Linked DNA regions of Ovis aries. The protein of the gene in region 2 purifies or fractionates together with the protein of the main gene of each other region. This does not show direct contact. Links are inferred from orthologs where the notes say so. Each region holds a gene or a part of one and is shown on either strand. Other genes may lie near its edges.

Region 1 (3,500 bases), about 130 Mb from region 2:
AGTACAACTGCTTTATCAATTAGGGCAAAAAGTCTGACTGACCATATAAACAAAATACAGGAGAATTATAATAATCTCTGCCCTCAATAAGCTTGTAGTCTAGTTGAGAAACTAGACTTAAAGATATGAAAAGTAAGACATTTAGATAAAATTTCTGTAGTAAGTCATAGAAGAGTACATGATCAATGTGTATTAACTGTAAAGACAATGATGATTAAAATTTAGAGAAGGGAGAGATTTACTTTAACAGGTTAATCAGGGAAACTCATTGGGCTTGTGGAACTTAGTCCAGAAATATGAGAAAATTTTGGATAAAAAAGATTAATCCAGATTTCTTGTGGATGAGTTTTACAATATGTTGTCATTTAATATTTTTTCTTAAACGTTTTTATATGAACTGTTTCCTTTTTGTTATATTTTCTATCCAAAGTGGTTATAATGAACCACTTTCAAGTGTTTGATATATCAGGTGCTTTCAATTTTTTATTCCTGTTTTCTTGTCACAGACATCCTGATTTTCAGCTGCTACAAGAAGGACAAAGGTATGGTTGAATCAGTATCACTTACCTTCTATATATTCATGTTAATAGAAACATTAAGAGTAAACCAGGTGATATGAACTCTTGGACTTCCTGTGGTGGTGCATTATGTAAGTGCCCATTCTAGCCCACACAAAGAAATATTTGCCTTGTACAGCTTTTTTTCTTTTGTGATGGTAAGATGATGTGTTTGATCTGTATGATTTACTGTACAGCTGTTCCTACCAAGGAAGTCTAATTGAACCTGTTGAAATATGACACAAACACAGCTTCCATCTGAAATACTGTGCTTCTTTGTCAAGCAAATTGTGACAATTACATTTGTTGAAAGGTTTTTATAGCCTTATTTTGTAGAATTTCAAAACATTAATGTATCAGTTATTTAATTATTTGAAAGAGTGTTTAAAGCATTAATAGAAATTCCAAGTTGTATTTTTTCCTAAACTTTCCTAGTGACATTGCTTGCCCAGCCATGATCATCTCTCAAAACATACCCTTTTATCTTCCAGAGTAAATTTTCCTGGTTATTAATCACTACGTTAGTTATATGAAATTGAGCACAAGCGAGATACTCTTTAATTATATAAATCTTCAGTTTATGGGTTTGAAATAGTATAGAAAAACATAATTACCTTACAATTCCAAGAGAGAGTGTACATGAAAATTGTTATTCTAAGTTTTTTGAAATTGTACTTTAGTTACAGTAGACAGTTCATGACTGTCTAGGCTAAATTCTAACTTTAAAAATGTTACCTGATACTGAATAAACTTACTATCTTTTTTCTCCATCTCCATCCAGAACCTTGTTTTCAACTCTGCTTGTATTCTTCTTTTATACTTTCCCCAAGCATGCTTTTTTGTTTATTGCTGAATTATTTTATTTCATTTTAAAAACCTTTTTAAAAAATGCAATAGCCAGTTTTGGAGAGCAGTTTACGGAAAAATTGTGTGAAAAGTAGAGAGTTCCTTTATACCCTTTCATGACTCTCCCAGTACTTCTTGACCCAGAATCCTTCCCATCCTGAGCTTTTAAAGTTCTCATTTGTGCATTTGTTTAAGGGTAATTGATCTCCTCCTCCCCTCATCTTTCTCGTTTGTATAGACAACGCTTCTCTTTGCCTTTACTCTTTCATGTTTTTTAATCTTTTGTAAACCTAATCTGAAAATTAAAGTAACATAGTCAAAGGGAAAACTATTGTCTTTAATTATTATCTTTGTATGTTAATTCTGGACTTTCAAGTATCTTTCATTGATTAATGTTGATTTGCCAACTTTTGCTATGACTTTCTTATATTTTTAATTTAATGCAATTTTCTACATAACTATCAGCCAGGATTGGAAAATGCTTAAACATCTTTTTTTAAATATTCAAAATCTGAACAGAGTTCCTACAGTATTTTTTTTTTTTTTTTTTGAGAAACCGGTAATGAATTTATCAAAAGAAACCTTAAAAGAAAAAAAAACAACTATGGATTCATTACAGAAATGGAGTGAGCAAAAATTAAAATAATTCAGTAGTATGACATTAGCGAGTGTTGGTTTGTGAGATTTTATTTGTGCGGGTATGGTTTGATTTTTAGTTTTGTTTTTCTTTTTGCTCAACTCGTAACACTTTTAAAATAATTAAGGAGAAAAGATAAGGGAAGAAGATGGAAAGAGAACTATATCAGATATGTAGAAAAATTACAGAATTATAGCTTTCTTCTGAAATGTGTGTGTGTTTATAGGCCTAGGTAAATATTAGCCTATAAATAAAGCCTTGCCTAGGGAATAAAATTTTTATCTTGAAAGTTACAAAGTATAAATTCTCTGGGACATTTTGTTTCTGTGTTACAGTTTTTCTTTCTTTCTCTCAACAGTGGTCCTTCTGGAGAAGAAATACATTTATGCAGCAAAGCCATTAAAACATCAGATATTGACAATCCTGGCCATTTTGAGAAGCATTATGAATCTAGTTCTTCTAGCACTCATAGTGATAGTAGCAGTGATAATGAGCAAGACTTTGTTTCCTCCGTTCTGCCAGGAAACAGACCAAATGCAACAAGGCCGCAGCTGCACAAAAAAAGCATAATGAAAAAGAAAGCTGGTCAAAAAGTTAACTCTCAGCATGAAAGCAAAGAGCAAACAGTAGTAGATGTCATTGAGCAGTTAGGCAATTGCAGATTAGATAATCAGGAGAAAGCTACTGCTTGTGAACTTCCTTTACAGAATGTAAATACACAGATTTCTTCAAATAGTTCTCTGCAAGAAAAATTAGAAGCTTCAGAAATTTCTGATATTAAATACAGTAGTTCAAAAGTAACTCTTGTAGGCATAAGTAAGAAAAGTGCTGAGCATTTTAAGAGGAAATTTGCCAAATCAAACCAAGTTTCTGGGTCAGCTTCCAGTTCATTGCAGGTGTGCCCTGAAATTGCAAAGGCAAACTTACTTAAAGCCCTGAAAGAGACTTTGATTGAGTGGAAGACAGAAGAAACTTTGAGGTTTTTGTATGGCCAGAATTATGCATCTGTATGTCTAAAATCCTCTTCAACCCCTCTGGTTAAAGAAGAACTTGATGAAGATGATACAAACTCTGACCCAGATAGTCATTCCCCTGCCTTGCAGGAGTTGAACAGCTTGGATGAGTCTTTACCATTTAGAGCCTCAGATACAGCCATTAAACCACTGCCAAGTTATGAGAACTTGAAAAAAGAAACTGAAACATTAAATTTACGGATCAGGGAGTTTTATAGAGGACGGTATGTTTTGAATGAAGAAACCACCAAATCACAGGACTCAGAAGAGGTATGTCTTAATGACAGTTATTTTTTTTTAATATTGATTTATTTGGCTGCACCAGGTCTTAGCTGCGGCATGTGGGATCTTCAGTCTTTGTTGTGGTGTGCAGGGATCTTTTTTTATTAGTTGGCGGCACGCAAACTCGTAGTTGCAGCATGTGAGATCTAGGTCCACCACCAGGGA
Region 2 (3,992 bases):
GTGCACTTTGAGCCACCTGGCCTTCGGCTAGTGCGGGGGGTTGGGGTGGAGATGGGGAGGGAACGGGAATGGGTGAGGCCAGAGGGAAGGGAGGTCTAGGTGCCTGGGAGGCGGGCGTGGTGGGGACAGAGGTCGCTTCTCCCTGGCAGGGCCCAAAGAGAAACCGGAGTAGGTGCTGACGTCTAGCAGCCATGGGGGAACACGGCCTGCTGGGGCTTTGTGTTCTGTATGAGGGTCCGGAGGACAGAGCAGAGGGGGTGAGCACTAGTGTATGAGCAGCGTCAGGGAGAGTGTCAGGAGAGGCCAGTGCCCAGGAAACAGGCAGTGTGCAGGAGGAGGCAGCGCCGGGGTGAAGGGGCGCGCGGGAGGTCGCAGGGGGCTCCCGGGTAAGGGAGCAGTGCCCAGGAGGGGGCCGAAGTGAGAGCTGGCACCCTAGAGGAAGGGGCAATGTAAAGAAAGAGGTGGCATCTGTAGGATAGGGTAGTGCCAGGATGAAGAAGCCCGTAGGAGAGCTTGTCTAGAAGGAGAGGACCGTGGTAGCGGAAAGGGAAGAACAGAGCTTAAGGGGCAGGGCTCGAGGAGGGCAGTGGGTTTGGGGTTAATGCCCTGCTGAAGGGGTGGTGTGAGAGAAGAGAGCAGGAAAGGGGACGGTGCAGGCTTTCCTCTTCCCCATGGTGACATCATGGCAAATTCCCAAACTGGAGGGACCCGGCTCAGGTGACATCCAGCTGGGACGAGCCGGCCCGGGCCGGCCTGGGTGCCAGCAGGAAGGGCTGGGTTTTGCGCCCAGTCGGGCCAGCGCCCTGGGGGCGGGGTGCTGCTCCCCTCACTCTCTGTGCGGACTTGCCCTCGGCGGGCACGCAGACCGGCACAGTAAGGCTCGGGCCGGGCTTCTCTGGGCCAAGGATCAAGGTCCCTGGCTGGGGCAGGCCGCTTGAGCATTCCAGTCTTCCAGACCCGGCTTCTGAAGAGGGCGCAGTAGAGCCTCGGGAGAGAGCCGGACGCGACGCCACCTCTGTCGGAGGTGGGACCCATCGTGTCGCCGCCGGGGGCGGGGTTTTCTGGACCCGAAACCAGCCCTCAATTCTGAAACCTCTGGGAAACAATCGTTCGGGGCGGAAGTTAAGAAGCCCCGAGAGCTAGGCAGCGGAAGTGGCTGCGGTACAGTTCTTCTATGCGCATGCGTTATTGTATTCCTTTGCCGCTGCCGTTTCAGCGCTGCGTCGTCTTAGCGCGCCTCTTTTCCTCCACGCGAGGGGGTGCGCTACCCCTAGTCGTCGTGGTCAGCGCGCCCAGTCCCTCTGCTACTCTCGTGGCCCCCTCACCATGGCGGGCATCCTTTTTGAGGATATTTTTGATGTAAAAGACATTGACCCGGAAGGCAAAAAGTTTGACCGAGGTAAGCAAGGTTTGGAGGGGCGGTTTCGGGGGAAGGGGCTAATCTCCTCTGGTACCCGCCCCCAGGCTGCTTGTCCACCCACTTTCGCGTGGCCTTTCCCTACCGGTGGGTCCTGGTGTGGGGACCTCTCTCGAGAAATAATTTTATAGATAAGAAAACGGAGACTCCCGAGCTCTCCCTGGTTTCACACAAGCTGTGCTCGCTGCCTGGGTGGCCTTTTCTGCTGGTGCTGGTGGACTCCAGGCATCTTTTATAATCGCTCCCCGCTCTGGACCGGGCGCTGTACTTAACACTTCGCACGCGCTTTGTCTCACTTATTTTCTTCCAGGAGTAGGCGGTGTCTTACCCATTTTGCTCTGAGAGGCTAAGCAGCCCACCCAAGGTTGTACAGTGAATAATCCGACTTCACAACCCGTTCCTCAGAGTCTTTAGCTGTTTGTAAAATCTTCTCAGAGTTTAAGAGTAGACTGCTTGGTATACACCTCTTTATTCTGTCATTTATCAATAATTGTCCTGGGTGTCTCTTCCTTTGCCTGGACACTGATAAGTTCTTCGGGACAAACACCAGTTCTTACACATCTTGATAATCAATCCCCTTAGCACAGCACCTGACACAGGAAGAGGAAACCTTAGGATGAATGAATACCTTGCCCCAAATCAGGTTATTTCTTAATCACTTAGGTTGGCCTAGAACCTGGATATTATTTATTGCCAGAGGATCTTTGATTCTTTTCTGTGGATTCTGTCCACTGGCCACAGGTTGTCTCCCCTTTCCTTCCTGCATGTGTGATTCTGATTGAGCCTGTACTTCTGTGAGAGCAGATGAGAGGCCAGTGGATACAGACTGCATTAGACTGAGTATTCTGTTGCATCCAGGCCCCTGAAGTACCTGTCTGCCCTGCCCTGTAGGGTCTGCCCTGGGCCACAGGCAGTTAACTTCTGCCACTCTTCCCCTCCAGTGTCTCGGCTGCATTGTGAGAGTGAATCTTTCAAGATGGACCTCATCCTTGATGTAAACATTCAGATTTACCCGGTAGACTTGGGTAAGTATTGAACACAAACAGCAGGAGGCTTTATGCCATCTCAGCTGGTCTCCACCCTCTGCTACCGCTGTTGTTTTCAGGTGACAAGTTCCGGTTGGTCATAGCCAGTACCTTATATGAAGATGGTACTCTGGATGATGGTGAATACAACCCCACAGATGATAGGCCTTCCAGGTGAGGGGATGGAAAAGGGAGCACCTGAAATGTGCCTGAGGACTAAGTGGATAGGTGTATAGAAAAACCCTTACTTAATTCATGAAATAAATGATTATCAGCAGACTCTGTTAGCTTAAGAAAAGTGCAGCACTTAAGAATCCAGACATCCAGGTGTTTATCCAAAGCAGTGATTACAGTGTGAGTTGTCACTTTTTGATAGTGGAGGAAATGAGCACTGAATGACCTAGGCTCTGTGGGCCTTGTGTCTTGGGAGGGAGTTTGGTGTGATGGAAAGGCTTTGGACGCCCACTCAGTTCACATCTCAGCTCTACCACTTATTTGTTGGATAACCTTAACCTCCTTCAACCTTAGTTTTTTCTCATCAATAACATTGATGGTCATACCTAGCTCACAGGGTTGCTGTGAGGATTGAATGACATCACGTTTAGAAAGTGCCTGGTGTTATGATGCTGGCGTATAGTTACCAGTTACCATTTTTTTAAAGGGCCTCTTACTTTTGTTAACTGTATTTAAGAATAACTGCCCCTATTGTTCCACAGGGCTGACCAATTTGAGTATGTCATGTATGGGAAAGTGTACAGGATTGAGGGAGACGAAACTTCTACTGAAGCAGCAACACGCCTGTAAGTTCCTTGGTCTTGTGAGAGCCCTTTCCCTTCTCATTTTGTGAGAATTTGGGCTATGCTTTGAAAATCTGGACCATCCTCAGGCTCCCTGGATTTCTTTCTTCAAGCACCTCAGACCTAGCGGGACCCAGAAAGGAACTGTTTTGGGAACAGTTTCAGTCTGAAATGTAGGCTGGTCAGTTTGCCCTCTGTCAGGATCTTAAGGCCTGTGATCTAAATGAGAAACTGTTAATCTTGCTGAGTGAAATGCCAAGGAAAGTTACTTCTCCAAGAACTAAATGCAGCATAAGTGATTAAACTGCTAGGCTTTTTTGTTTGTGTGTGTGTGTGTGTTTTGCTACTCTGCAATCCAATCCCTAGTTCTTTGGTTTCTCTGCCCAACTATTTTTTCCTTTTCTTTAAAACCTTATTAAAACAATATGTGCCCTTTGCAAGAAATTTGAAAAGCAGAAAAGTAATATGAAGAAGGAAAAAAGTCACCTATAATTCTATAACCAGAGGGAATCTTCTACATAAACATTCTTGAATGTTCTAGGTTTTTTTTTTCCTATGTACTTTTTTCTTTGAGATCATGTTGTTTATTACAATGTTTTGTTCTGTTCCATTTGCTTAATGTTATGTAAAACATGTTTCCTCATGTCAATTTAAAGCTTTTCCTAAACATTTTTTTTAAATTCCTAAACATTTTTATAGCTGTGTAACATTCCAATAAATGGATGTATCTTAATTGATTTGACCATTTCCCTT
Region 3 (3,500 bases), on a different chromosome or scaffold from region 2:
TGAGCTTTTCTAAAGTTAAATTATATATATAATTTTTTTATTGGTTTTTTAATGTTTATTATTTTTGGCTGTGCTGGGTCTTGCCGCGCAGGCTTTCTCTAGATGTGGTGAGCAGGGGCTAATCTAGTTGCGGTGCTCAGATTTCTTATTGCGGTGACTTTTCTTGTTGCAGAGCAGGGCTCTAGGGTGCCCAGGATTCAGAAGTTGCTGCAAGGTAGTTGGGATGCACGGGCTTAGTTGCCCCAGGGCATGTGGGATCTTCCCAGACCAGGGATCAAACCAGTGCCCCTTGTATAGCAAGATGGATTCTTCTTTTTTTTTTTTCATTTCTTCTTGCTCTTTCATTTTTTTTTTTAGTTATTTATTTTTTTGTTGCACTGGGTATTCATTGTGGCATATGGGATCTCATTCCCTGACCAGGGATTGAACCTGAACTCCCTGCATTAGGGAGTCTTAGCCACTGGACCACCAGGGAAGTCCCGCAAGATGGATTCTTAACCAGTGGACAATCAAGGAAGCCCTGAATTATGTTCTTTAAATATAGTATGTTTTATATAATTCAGAGATGATTGCCTCTACTCCCCTCCCCCTTTTTTTGCCTTTTAAAACAGCTTTTCTTATATGATGATAGTGGGGGATTTTTTTGCTTTTGAGTTTTTCTTTTAATAATTTTATCTTGAAAAAATGTTGTCAACCCTAGGTTGGTTCCCTAGATATTTGGAAATTTTACTGGTCAGTGAAATCCAAAGTCTTAGAAAATACATTTTTTCCCCCCTCTCTAAAGATCCATTTCCAAAAGAAGCTTCATTGCTGGTTCTTCATTGTCTTAATGTGATGTGGCTCAGGGCCAGGTACTGGAAGGAGCTCTGGGCTGGGATTCTGGAGAACTGAGTCCCCATCTGCCTGATGGACTATGTGGTCTTCCCCTCACTGAGCCTTAGTTTTCCCATCTGTACAAGGAGGCTGCCATGAGATGACACCGAAGAGCCTTTTATGGCTGCGATTCCATGATTGTGATAGTGGTAGAACAACAGTATGTAACAATAACAGTCAGCACTGATGGGACTCTTCCCTGTGCCAAGCGCCACTTTAATTGCATTGTCTCATTTACTCCACAAAAATCCATAGGGTGAGGGTATTTAATTTAGGGGCAAAGAAACAAAAACAGAGACGTTCAGAAACTTGCTCAAGCCACTGCATGGCAGAGAGAGGATTCAGACCTAGGTAGGTGAGAGCCCGTGCTCCAGACCACCACATCAGGATTGGGCAGAGTGCTGAGTCTTGGACACTGCCTGTGAATAAAGTTTTAGTGGAACATAGCTTCAGTCATTCATTCCTGTGTTAATCAGTGGCTGCCTTTGCACTGCAGTGGCAGTGACCATTTGCTCACGAAATGTTTATTTACTGTCTAGACCTTTACTCCCCCTGCACTAAATTCATGCTCCTATTGTAAGGAGCTGGTGGGATGGCCCTTCCTCAGCTGTTGACTGTATACCAGGTGTGGGGTGCCTACTGGCTGGTCTTACACATTTCCCCTTTTCCCTCCCCTGTTGTAGTCACTGCTCCTTTGTCATAGAAGCGTTGAAGTCTTTGCCATCAAATGAGGAGAGCCGAGACCGCCAGGCACGGTGCATATGGTACCTGGACACCCTCATCAAATTTCGAGCACAGAAAGTGATTAAGCGGAAAAGTAAGTCCATGATAGACTTTTTTTTTTAATTGAAATACAGTCGATTTACATTGTGTTTGTTTAAAGTATACAGCAAAGTGATTCAGTTACATATGTATTTATACATATATATATTCTTTTTCAGATTTTTTTCCATTATAGATTATTAAAGGATACTGTATATAGTTTCTTGTGCTATACTGTGGGTCCTTGTTATTTTATGTATACCAGCATGTATCTGTTAGTCCCAAACTCCTAATTTATCCCTCCTTCCCTTGCTTTTCCCCTTTGGTAACCATACATTTATTTTCTATGTCTATGAGTCTGATTTGTATCATTTTCTTTAGATTCCACATAAAAGTGTTACTATATTTGTCTCTCTGTCTGGCTTTACTCATTATGATAATCTCTAGGTCCACCCATGTTGCTGCAAAGGGCATCATTTCATACTTTTTTATGGCTAAGTAATATTCCATAGAAATATATATACTACATCTTTATCCATTCATCTGTTGTTGGACATTTAGGTTGCTTCTGTGTCTTGGCTATTGTAAGCAGGGCTACAATGAACTTTGGGGTTTATATATCAGGATAGGCATTTTATTCTAGTTATTTCCAGTCTGTTATCTGTCTATAACTATTAGACTAATTCTAGTGAAGAAAGCTGAGCGCTGAAGAATGGATGTTTTTGAACTATGGAGAAAACTCTTGAGAGTCCCTTGGACTGCAAGGAGATCCAGCCAGTCCATTCTAAAGGAGATAGTCCTGGGTGTTCTTTGGAAGGACTGATGCTGAAGCTGAAGCTCTAATACTTTGGCCACCTCATGAGAAGAGTTGACTCATTGGAAAAGGCTCTGATGCTGGGAGGGATTGGGGGCAGGAGGAGAAGGGGACAACAGAGGATGAGATGGCTGGATGGCATCACCGACTTGATGGACATTGAGTTTGAGTGAACTCCGGGAGTTGGTGATGGACAGGGAGGCCTGGCATGCTGCGATTCATGGGGTCTCAAAGAGTCGGACACGACTGAACGACTGGACTGAACTGAGAGAAGAAATGGGCATGTCTTTCCAGGTCTTCATTTATAACTGTGTAACAGAGGGGGTACTGCTGATGTGCTGAGAGAACTTGCCAAGCTCTTTCCTCTGAAAATAGGGTCGAGTTGGATTATATGATTGCTCAGAGCTAACATTCACTACTTCTGTTCTATGTTAGGTAAAGTATAACATCCAGTCCAATCAAGTGAATATTCTAGGGGAAGGTTAGAACTAGTTGTATGGGGAGAAAAGTTGGCCTTGCTTGTGAAGGCCTGTGGCACAATGTTGTGTCAGCTCTTTCTGGCTTGGAGGGAAGTCACTTTCTGCTGGTAACCCATGTCACCTGTCACCAGGGCATGGGTGTCTGCCACACATGCACGGCCACCCAGAGTTGGAAATCCAGAGAGAGACACCTGTGATTTGAGGCCTAAGGTGTATACAGTTGTGTTACTGTGACTAGGCACCTGGGGTTTATACAGGAACACCTCGTTCTGCCATTCTTCACAGATACCATGGTTTTTACAAATTGAAGGTTTGCAGCAACCCTGGGTTGACCAAGTCAGCACCATTTTTCCAACAGAGTCTGCTTGCTTTGTGTCTATGTATCACATTTCATTGTTTGTGAATATTTTCAACTTTTACATTGTTATATTATGATGGTCTATGATCAGTGATCTTTGATGTCACTGCTACAACACTCTGAAGGCTAAGATGATGGCTAGCAATTTTTTAGCAGTAAGGTATCTTTTAATTGAGGTATGGACACTGGTTTTTAATTTTTAATTAATTATTGG
Region 4 (3,500 bases), on a different chromosome or scaffold from region 2:
GCTGTGCATTGGGCCCTCTCGTTGAGAGTGGAGGCAAGGGCCGCAGGCTGCTGGGCTATTACTGTCTGCTGGATCTGAGGCTGGAGGCCCAACCTTGCACTGCATAGAGCCCAGGACGCCTGCCTGTTGGCTGTGCTGAGGGCAGAACTTGGCCTGCTTCCTAGTCCTTAGGGCCTGATTGCCTCCAGATGCCCAGATAATGCTCCCTACATAGCGCTCAGTGCCCTTGCTAGCATGGCTGGAGCAGGGGAGCCAGAGGGATGAGCCCTCGGGTGGTCCTGAGCTTGAGGAAGGCAGCAGACAGTGCTGTCCACAGCGCTGAGAGCCTGAGCACCGCCTCAAAGCCGAAAGCCCCTTTGGATGCCCGCCTGAGTGTAGAGGCTGCTCGGCTATGACAGTGGGGTGGCAGGCCTTTCCCCAGCCCCACCCTGAGCAGCTTCCAGGAGGGTCTCTGGCTGTGTGAGGGTCTACAGTGCCAGCTTGCTCCAGCCCCCAGCATTGCTCAGGTGTTCTGCCTGCCCCTCCTCTGGCAGCAGGACAGCGTCTGCCCAAGGACAAGGACACTCTGTGCCACTGGGCTCGCTCTGTGGACACTGCTGGTTCAGGAGTGTGTAGGGACCCAGGGCTCTAAATACACCAGGGTGAGGTCACTGAGGTGGAGAGAGGCCATGTGGCAAGCCCAGGACCGTGCGGGCCAGAATCCCAGGGCTGGGGACAGGGAGCGGGTGGCCTTGTTCCCGTGGGACCAGCCTCCTCACTGCCCGGTTTGTCAGGATATTTTCTTAGACATCACTGCTTTGGGGCTCCAGAAAAATCTGTCTACCCCAGGGTTGCAAAGATATTTTCCTGTTTATTCTAGAAACCTTAGAGTTTTTGCTTTCACATTTAGATCTGGGGTCCATTTTAATTTTTGAGTATGCTGTGATGCTTAGTGTAATTGGAATCAACCCAGTGTGTATCTCCTGTGACTTTTCATCCACTGTGGTTTGAAGTTCATCTGTTGATGTACTGAAGCTGCAGTGTGCTCATTTCTAGAGCTCTTGAATTTCTTAGTCTGTTCAACTTTTGGACGACAGTGGTGTCGTTACAACATGTGACCACATGACCCACTCCTTTACATCACATTCATAAAATGTGATGGTAATAATAGTTCACACCTTCTGCTTGAGGTTGTGATAATTCAGTGGAGTAGTGCTGTATGGAAACAGACCTTGGTAGAACAGGGCCTGGTTCATAGCACGTGTCATCGAGGTATAGAATTGCTTGGTCACGAGACACACAAGTGTTTGATTTGACCAGACACAGCCCAGTGCTCCCCAGAGTTGGCCGTACCCCAGAACTACCTGGTGTTGTCAGATACCGTTTCCAGCAGTCTGGCGTGTGTTCGTTGCAGCCGCTTGTGGGTTCGGTGTGCCTCGCCTGATGGCCAGGAGAGTTGAGCGCTGCTGCACCATTTCCTGTCGTGCCCAGTCCCTGTTCGTGTCTCCCGGCCCGCGTTCTCTGTGGGCCCAAACACAGACCCGGCGGGCCCTGTGGCATTGGTCTCCTCCCACTTTGTGACTTCTGCTCTCCTTGGGATGTCTTTCAGTGAACTCTATAAAGATCTTGTTAAGGCAGCTAAATTGATTAGATGATTATGCACAGCTGTTTTAAATGTGGTGCGTTTTATTCAGTGAGTCCTTCAGCCTCCCATCAGATGGCAGACTCGAGTGCATTTCCCGCATCAAGAGTGAATCTTGTTTCATAAATGTGAATTTCAGTTGTGCGGCAGCCGCTTGGGCAGATGGGTGTGTCCGTGGACAGACTCAGTCACCTGTTCACCGGGCACTGGAGGAGGCCGACGGGAGGGTGCGCACTAGGTGCGTGCTGGCCCCTGGGAGCAGGTAGGAGGCTGCAGGAGGGGGTCTCCGGTGATGCTGGCTCTACCGGCGCTTGGGAAAGGGGGAATTATGGAGCAGGCCAGCACCGGGAGAAGTGCCTGAGGTCTGACAGCGGCTCTTGTTTTACAGATCCGGAACATGGTGGCGGTGCAGGAAGTCATCTCCAGCCTGGAGAAATACCCCATCACCAAAGAGGCACTGGAGGTGAGCATTCCAGGTCTGAGCACTAGGGCGGCAGTGATGCGGGGCCCGGGCTGCCCCAGCCCTGGGCTTTCTTGACTTCTTGGAGCCCCAGAGACTTTGCTCACTGGCCCAGCAAGGCCTTAAAGGGAGGAGTGAGGGGGGCATGCCCTTCTGGCCTGCACTGTGCCAGTCCACAGCACATGGGCACTGCAGGAAATACGAGAGGCTTTAGTTCAGAGTTGAGGCCCCTTTCTCTGCAGGAGGCCCTGCACACTCTGCAGTGCGCAGCAGAGGCTCCAGTGAGTGAGGCTGGCTCAAGGTCCCGTGTGCTGTTGCCTTTGCCACAGTGTACTCTCACCTAGAAATCTCCCCTGGCCAAGTGTCCTTGAGGTGGCCGTGAATGGTCCGCGGCCTTCAGGAGTTGGGAGCCTGTGAGATGATGCTTCTGAGAATGCTCTGTCTGTCCCATGGACTGTAAGATCTGAGGACTTGGGTTTGAGAATTTAAATGTCACGAGGGGCCCAAAATCTTCATAGGTTTTGTGTCTGGGAGACCAGTGGTTTAGGGGGCCTGTGGGGTCATTTCAAAGACACGAGCCCTTCCCCCAGCTCCATGGGAAGCTCCATTTCTGCCTCTGCTCTCTCTTCATGGGGTGTCCCTGTCCTAAAAGCGTGTCATTGTGTCTCTCTGGCTGTAGGAAACCCGCCTTGGGAAGCTCATCAACGACGTCCGCAAGAAGACCAAGAACGAGGAGCTTGCCAAACGGGCCAAGAAGCTGCTGCGGAGCTGGCAGAAGCTCATCGAGCCCGTGCACCAGAATGAGGCTGCGCTGCGGGGGCTGGCGGGTGCCACCGGCTCAGCCAACGGCGGTGCCCACAACTGCCGGCCAGAGGCAGGGGCGGCCGGCCCGCCCAAGAGCGTCCATGACCTGAAGTACCGCAATGACATGCCAAGGCTGTGCGGGCAGCGGCTGGACAGGTTGGGCAGCCGCAAGCGCCGGGGAGACCAGCGTGACCTTGGTCACCCTGGGCCACCTCCCAAGGTCTCCAAGGCAAGCCACGACTCCCTGGTACCCAACTCGTCCCCCCTCCCCACCAATGGGATCAGCGGGAGCCCTGAGAGCTTCCCCAGCCCCCTGGACAGCAGTGGGCACGTGGGCCCTGAGGGCAACCGCCTGGAGCACGGCGAGAATGACAAGCACAGCGGCAAGATCCCCGTCAATGCCGTGAGGCCGCACACCAGCTCCCCGGGCCTGGGCAAGCCCCCCGGGCCCTGCTTGCAGACGAAGGCTGTGGTGCTGCAGCAGTTGGACAGGGTGGACGAGACTCCAGGGCCCCCCCACCCCAAGGGGCCACCTCGCTGCTCTCTCGGTTCCCGGAACTCACGGCACGAGGGCTCCTTTGCCCGGCAGCGGAGCCCGTACACGTACAAGGGCTC

Evidence for each region.
Region 1: the proteins of POLR2H (region 2) and RPAP2 purify together in Homo sapiens (affinity purification with mass spectrometry; 3 studies listed by BioGRID and IntAct, with this or other methods). This does not show direct contact. The link is inferred for Ovis aries from reciprocal best matches to the Homo sapiens genes POLR2H and RPAP2.
Region 3: the proteins of POLR2H (region 2) and POLR1E purify together in Homo sapiens (affinity purification with mass spectrometry; 3 studies listed by BioGRID and IntAct, with this or other methods). This does not show direct contact. The link is inferred for Ovis aries from reciprocal best matches to the Homo sapiens genes POLR2H and POLR1E.
Region 4: the proteins of POLR2H (region 2) and MED26 purify together in Homo sapiens (affinity purification with mass spectrometry; 3 studies listed by BioGRID and IntAct, with this or other methods). This does not show direct contact. The link is inferred for Ovis aries from reciprocal best matches to the Homo sapiens genes POLR2H and MED26.

The regions. Positions count from the first base shown.
Region 1 is NC_056054.1:69,579,221-69,582,720, forward strand, and holds part of RPAP2 (putative RNA polymerase II subunit B1 CTD phosphatase RPAP2), read left to right. Parts: intron 1-506; coding exon 507-542; intron 543-2,398; coding exon 2,399-3,323; intron 3,324-3,500.
Region 2 is NC_056054.1:203,612,170-203,616,161, reverse strand, and holds the start of POLR2H (DNA-directed RNA polymerases I, II, and III subunit RPABC3), read left to right. Parts: upstream 1-1,192; 5' UTR 1,193-1,326; coding exon 1,327-1,399; intron 1,400-2,358; coding exon 2,359-2,442; intron 2,443-2,522; coding exon 2,523-2,616; intron 2,617-3,158; coding exon 3,159-3,242; intron 3,243-3,992. UniProt on the Homo sapiens protein: DNA-dependent RNA polymerase catalyzes the transcription of DNA into RNA using the four ribonucleoside triphosphates as substrates.
Region 3 is NC_056055.1:51,249,217-51,252,716, reverse strand, and holds part of POLR1E (DNA-directed RNA polymerase I subunit RPA49), read left to right. Parts: intron 1-1,556; coding exon 1,557-1,690; intron 1,691-3,500. UniProt on the Homo sapiens protein: Component of RNA polymerase I (Pol I), a DNA-dependent RNA polymerase which synthesizes ribosomal RNA precursors using the four ribonucleoside triphosphates as substrates.
Region 4 is NC_056058.1:6,224,949-6,228,448, forward strand, and holds part of MED26 (mediator of RNA polymerase II transcription subunit 26), read left to right. Parts: intron 1-2,009; coding exon 2,010-2,084; intron 2,085-2,760; coding exon 2,761-3,500. UniProt on the Homo sapiens protein: Component of the Mediator complex, a coactivator involved in the regulated transcription of nearly all RNA polymerase II-dependent genes.